2 linked regions of the Daphnia pulex genome follow. The protein of the gene in region 2 interacts with the protein of the main gene of each other region in a pairwise test. Links are inferred from orthologs where the notes say so. Each region holds a gene or a part of one and is shown on either strand. Other genes may lie near its edges.

Evidence for each region. The genes of interacting proteins can lie anywhere in the genome.
Region 1: the proteins of actin-related protein 10-like (region 2) and transcription factor BTF3 homolog 4-like interact in a two-hybrid assay, tested with the Drosophila melanogaster proteins (2 studies listed by BioGRID). The link is inferred for Daphnia pulex from reciprocal best matches to the Drosophila melanogaster genes Arp10 and bic.

Annotation. Positions count from the first base shown.
Region 1 is NC_060019.1:5,796,338-5,799,587, forward strand, and holds transcription factor BTF3 homolog 4-like, read right to left. Parts: upstream 1,989-3,250; 5' UTR 1,830-1,988; exon of another isoform or gene 1,754-1,829; intron 1,737-1,753; exon of another isoform or gene 1,623-1,736; intron 1,542-1,622; 5' UTR 1,541-1,541; coding exon 1,264-1,540; intron 1,196-1,263; coding exon 894-1,195; 3' UTR 515-893; downstream 1-514. Other genes in the region: tyrosine-protein kinase transmembrane receptor Ror2-like, read right to left, coding at 3,162-3,250.
Region 2 is NC_060027.1:4,051,279-4,054,832, forward strand, and holds actin-related protein 10-like, read right to left. Parts: upstream 2,313-3,554; 5' UTR 2,175-2,312; coding exon 2,113-2,174; intron 2,046-2,112; coding exon 1,893-2,045; intron 1,836-1,892; coding exon 1,727-1,835; intron 1,674-1,726; coding exon 1,498-1,673; intron 1,382-1,497; coding exon 1,033-1,381; intron 965-1,032; coding exon 763-964; intron 703-762; coding exon 569-702; 3' UTR 508-568; downstream 1-507. Other genes in the region: probable methyltransferase TARBP1, read right to left, coding at 1-106; brachyurin-like, read right to left, coding at 2,972-3,310, 3,388-3,527.

The DNA.
Region 1 (3,250 bases), on a different chromosome or scaffold from region 2:
GTCGACTCGATGAGCGTCAAATCGCTGGCTGACTTCTTGACGCAGCCCTTATCCTTTCCGTTCTGATGGAATCCGGCCGAACGTTTCGGCCCATGTTTTGGCAGTAAAGAGGCATCGAGAAAGTGTCGCGGGGTCTCTCGCCCACTGAGCTGACGCTGCGGGACAAGTTCCAGTTGGCCGTGTTGCTGGAGAGGAAAATGTGTGTAGTACATATGATAGTATATGTTAGTATGCATATAAGAGCATTAGTACCTACTATACGGTGGAGTTCCTTCATGCTGGCCTGCCTGAAGTGAATGATGTTTCCTTGGCCTGATCCCTGCTACACCAGGTGACTATATTTGGGACTTACCAACTCCTATTTCTCCTTGATCCCCTCACCTGGATTGAATTGAAATTTGTTTGCAGTGGGAAGATGCAATGTAAAAGAAAAAGTTCACGTTACTCTTACAACTACTCAGTACCCTAAATGTTTTGCACCGTTGGATTCTTTTTTCAATAAATTTTAAACAAGTTACTAATCAATTGATGGTGTATTAAGATTTTTATGACGGGGAAACATTGCAGCCAGAAGCTCATTCTCTGTTTGATCTGAGGACTTTCACAAACAGCCAATAACAATAAGAAATCATCCCTGTTTTTCTTTTTCGTTCAGTGTGTAATACGAGTACAGTTGTTGCTTTCCCATGATTAGTAATGGCCTAAAGTGGGACCATAGGATTACATCCTTTTGTAATAGAAAAGGAATTAAAGAAAAAGGAAAAAAAAAACTAGAAAAGTGAAGGGAGAAGGAAAGACAAAATAGAAAACAGTCAAGGTTGATTTTCCTTTTGCCGGCGCCTGCTTGTTCCGACTGCATCCTTCACGTTGTTGCCGGTATTCCGTCTTCATGTTTATTCTTCTGCTTTGGGAGTCTCCGCAGCTTTGACTGGTTCGGCAGCTGTAGCAGCAGGGGTTTCAGCTACCTTGACTTCGGCTGTCGACTTGGTCTCAACAGTGGGCGCCTCCTTCTTGCTTGGCTCGTCAAAGTTGTCAACTAGATCGGGAACCTCATCATCTTCTTCGGTTGTCGGTAGCGTAGCCGATGATGCTCCACCCTGTCCACCGGCAGAGGCACCTACTATCCTTTCTTTCAAGTGTGCCAAACTTTCAGTTGGCAATTGGTTGAGGATAGCTGGCAACATATCAGTGATGGCTGCAAACAAACAATGACAGATGAAATTAATAAACTTGGGAATGGCATTAACTTTTGTGAGATCTTACGTTTGTGTTCAGCATGACCGGTGATGGCAAAAGTGTTTGCCGCTAGAGAAGCCTGTACTTTAGGGTTGTTGAAGTGGATGATTGTACCATCATCCTTGAACATGTTGACTTCCTCAATCCCAGGGATGTTGTTGACTGTCAGTTTTTTCAAGGAACTTTGAAGCTTCTTGTCATCAGTGGTAGCAGTACGGTGGACAACTTTCTTCTTCCTGCGAGCAGTACCAGGGCCCCCGATCCTCACTTGAGATTGCAATTTTGCCAACTTCTCTGCATTCATTCTGCAAAACAAGAAGAACATTGTTAAATCAGTTAACATTAAGGTTAAACATGAAAAAGATGAACAAATTATCACTGTATACTCTAAAAATAATTATGAGGGCTATTTTTAACCGACTAAGACCATGCGGCCAAGGTTTGCTGTTTTTAACGAATTGTCAAATGTCACTTCATAAGAAGAACAGCAGTTCAACATGACTGTAGTCGGACTTACTTCACTTTTTCACAAGTTACAGATATATAACAAGTAAATTTAAGGACGAGAACTGCGGGAAACTGTTAAAACGAACCTGTAATATGTTTGAGGCACGTGAAGCACACGAGATCGCGGCGAGGAGGAAGATGGCGGTGGCGCCGTAGAAGAATATTGTGTTTAGGGCTGGTGTATAGGGATAGTCAATTGAAACACTATTACAATTCGCTCATCGTTTCAATAAATATTTAAAACTAAATACGGTAAATCATTGTTTAGAATTTACAAATATTTTATGGATAAATTAATTATAATTATAAAGATAATTTGGCAGTAATTTTTTTTTTTAATTTTGTTTTGATGCGTGACGTAGTGCGCGACTTTCGAAATGTCGTCGCCAGGTTCGCCTCCAAATTGCATTATATATAACTCTGCATAACCATTTTTGCTTATGAATTAAAATAATAATTAATATTTTAAAATCACTACCATGTTTTTATTTTTATTGATCGCTTTTTAAAAAATAAAAAATAAATAATATTTTACTGAACGCCATAGCGTAATCTTCTCTACTTAGCGATAGCGAAGCCGTACCCAGTTCTTTAATATTGCAGGCTATTACAGGGCATTCTAAAATTGAACACGTGACCCTGAAGGGCTTGTCTTATGAGGTTAAGAAGCTCAAAATGTAAAGAACAGCTCCGCTTTGGAGAGCTACTGAAAAGAGAAAATCACTTATTGATTTCTGCTCATCAAGCAGGCACGGAAATGAATAGACAATGATGTGATGCTGTTGTACTGCAAAAAAAGAGTATATTGACTAACAGTGAGTTGATACATCCATCTCTCTGCCCTGCAAGATAGATAAGATAATTGCAACATGTTTACTTATTAGACAACTGTTACCAATGGTGTACGGTATGCACGACACAGCGAAAACAAACGAAAAGAAACACACCAAAAACTGAAACAAAAAACCCAAAAAGTGAAAAGCTGACTTTGTCGAAAGAGATCTTGGCTCAAGTTATTTTTTTTTTTTCTTTTTCAAATGATGAATATTTCTTCTCCTACCAGAAAAGAACAAAAGGGACACACACAATATAAACGCTAGATGCACATCAGATCCCACAGAGACTCTTATTTTTCCTCGCTCGATAAGCACAAACAAATGCGGTAGCCAAAGGCGAGCTATGACTGAGAAAAAAAAAAACCCAAACCCCCTCTCCCCCCCCCCTCAAAAAAAAGAGACAAAAGAAATATGATATGATTGAGGTTGTGCAGTGTTACACGAGTGCTCGATTGAAAAAAAGATTTCAAAGTAATTTAAATATAATGGGCATTTTTTTTTTGTTGTTGAAAAAAGGACTGGTAGAGTTTTTAAAGATGTCGTTTTAATTTTCTTTCTTCATTTCTAGAAAACAAAAAAAATTCAAAGGTGAACGGGAGGTGGATCAGTATCGGGACGAGGTTGGCAACAAAGTGCTTCTTCGATAGCCACAAGCTCGTCGTGCAGGTCGA
Region 2 (3,554 bases):
GATCAAGATTGGTACTTAATTTGATCTCGTCCACAACTTTTTCGATAGCCTCTTCCACACTCCTTTCACTGATGAAATTTAGAACTGCAGAAATTTCCTCACCCATTTTAGATCACCGGCAGTAGGCAATAGAACAAAGTGATAAACTGAAACCTTCCCAATAGAAAACTTTCGCAGTTTCCTTTATCAACTGAATTGAATTCAAATGACAGTTTAAACTAAAATTTTCTGAAAGAATTTACAGCAACACGTTTTTTAGCAGACGACTGTTCGGAATGACAGTATCGAGATATCGATGAAGATTAAAAATCGATTTGTCAATTTAAAATAAAGGAAAACCATTAACCAAATGTTACGGATTTTTTATTCATTGTGGAATTTAGAAAGAAAGAATTTTCAGGGCTCAGGAATTCTAGTTTAGTTTATGCATGCCTCTATCAAGTTAGCTAATAACTCCAAGGATTAAATTTTTTATTTTCGAAATAGTTTAAATAAGCAGTTGACGTCTTGACGATAGTTTAACTTTTATTTTGTGAAAAAAACTGATTTATTAGCACTGTTTATTTAGTTAACCAGCTCTACTATCAATTTCTTTGGTGTTATCCGCTAAATTATTCCAATCGGGAACATGATTAGTCTGCAAGTAGACTTCGCGAGTGTAGCTGCGTGTGGCGATCGCTTCCGTTGCTCCCAAAATAGCCCCTATTAAAAATATATTTTAATTGATTTCAGTTTACGTGGTATAATTTGAGTAAAATAAACCTCCAAGCCAAGCGGCATAGTTTGATTTAGCTGGTGGCCGATGAACTTTTAGGGCCTTAAGAGCAATCCGGCTTGAGTACTTTGGATGTTGCTGGAGATCCTTTACTTCCGACACTAAACGAGATTTTAGTCCAGGCATCATTGATCCCCCGCCAGTTATTACCAAATTCTCCGCTAGTGGAATTCGAAAATCAATTGGCGACTAAATTACAAAAATCAACGTAAAATCAATCTATAATCAGGAAAACTTTTTTAACGATGTTTACGTACAGCGAGTATACTATCCAAAATCATCGAAGCGAGTGAAACCATCTCATTGTCCGTTTCAAAGAGGACCTCGGCTGACTCTTCACGAACAGATCCATCAAGAGTCAAATTATTATTGCCGGACAAAGGATAGAGAATGGTAGGAGGGGGAACAGGGGGCGATGGCCCTGCTTCATTTGTCCGGGAAGCAACAAGCTGGCGGGATCTTGGCAGTGTAGTAACGAAACAAGTGCGCACCACAATGTCTTCTAAGATTCCACGTGATAGTTTAGGAATGACATCAACCAAGTCAACCTTCTGACCATCACTTCCCTGGACCTTGGCGCGTAGCAATAGAAGAGATTCCAACCGCCTGAAAATATTTCAACAATTAGTAATGTCATATTGCTGAATCAGAAAATATTTACAGCTACATGTTAAATAATATTCATTGCAAGTAAAAAAATTTGTGTTCAAGTGAATGATTACCCTTGAATGGCTTTTGCTCCAAGAGGTTGAGCTTGCCAAGCATGAATCAAAGGAGTTCCTTCACAAACTGGTATCATCGTTGTTTCCTCATGTCCAATATCAATCACAAATGCAGTGTTGATCCCCAGGGTATAAAGTGTGACAAGGTGAGAAGGCACAAACAAGACAGATGGTACCTAAAATAAAATGTTTCTCACAATCGTATCTGGGACAATGCTTGGTAGAGTACCTCAAAATGAACAAAAAGGACATTGGCTAGAATTTCACGAAACTCTGTAGGACATAGTAAAGATTCCACAATCACAATCCTTCTTTCACGGTGATTGACTAATAAATACCTGTAAAACCAAACCTTAGTTTTTTTCAGTTGAATTCAAGTTTTATAAAAGTAATACTTAAAGAAAATGTGGTGGAGAAATTTGACCAGATTGAAATGAAGTTCTTTTTCACTGGAATATTCATGAAGGTAAACTCCTTCACCTTTTTTGGAGCCATCTAATTTGGATGGAATGATGACTCGCGGCTCGTTTTCACCAACAAAACCACACCTGTCAACCAGTAAGTGAATAATGTACCAGTTGGAACTTCATCAGACAAATTGTTTACAAAACATACTTGGTGTAAGCTCGTCCGATATCTAGGACAACTGCATGACGATCATTATCGTGTATGGGCATTTCGATTAAACGCTACCAATATTAAATATTAATTGTAATACTCATGTAACTGTAAGCACTGAAACTGTCATAAAACAACACCAACACAGCTGACCACTTTGGGGACTGCTGACGGCCATTACTCAAAATAGTAAAAATAGTTCCGACTTCATTCGCTAGATGGCTACCACGCCATCTATGTAAATAACATCTAGCGCGCCAAAGTTAAAATTTCCGTCCGTTCAAAGCCTGAAAGGTTTCTTTGGGATTGGGATTTGACTCTATATCTTTTTTTTCTCTTTTCCTCTTTCTTTTTAGGGTGTGGGGTGTGTCGCAAAACGCCTTCTCATCTGCTCCCAGGATTTATGGCACAAGTTACGTCTCGGTTTGTTGGTATCTAATCAAGCCGGCTGATGAAGTTTAGTTTATTGCATTATATGATAGCTTACGCAATATAATGGAATTTTTCATCCAACCGCTAGAAGATTCAAACAGGCCTATCATATACTTTCGCCTTTTCTTAGAACTTGAAGAAATAATTTCTATTAATTTCCCAAGGCTAGTCTCTAGACTATTTGCAGCTCATTTGAATGACAAGGCGAGGACAATAAATTCTAGGTAAAACTCATTTTCTATTTATTTATTAGAGCACAGCTCTTAATATTTCAACAATTTAATTATTTTTGATTGCATAAACTTCATCACTCTGTTAAATTGCAAACAATTTATAATTCGTGAAATGTAATGTATACTTGCCTAGCCATAGATTATTTGATCAACTATGGCATAAATGTGTAGTCATGCCCGCTATCTCAATTTCAGACTCCATAAATGGGTCCAATACAGATAATCAAGAGAAGAATTGAAATGAGTGACGACGATAAGAAGGCGGAAGTTTGATGACCACCGGAAGACGGCTGTGTTGTAGTCACCTTATTTGTTGTCGAGCTATAGGCGGTTGTGGGGATTTTCGTGGATGTTGTGGAAGATGATGAAGGTGAAATGATACTTTGAATCCATGACGAATACGAGCTGATCCTGGTGCAACCGTTTGGATGATTCTTTTGGCAACCTTCAGTCGAGCCGAACGAAACGATACCAATTTGCTTCCACGAGCCGTCCGACCCTTTGTAGTTCATTGGGCCGCCACTGTCACCCTGTTGAACATGAATAAGTTTATGATTCATAAAGACTAGAAAACAGAACACATTATGGGGCAATGGACGTTTCATACGTTGCATGTTCCACGATAATTGTTTCCGCTAGTGCAAATGATTTTATCTGAGACGAGTTTGCCATAAGTCAACTTGCATTCGTTATTGGTGATGACTGGGACTGTCACCTTACGAAGTGTTGAACTGCCCAAAACACTACCTAAAAACCATCAAACAGTATGTGATA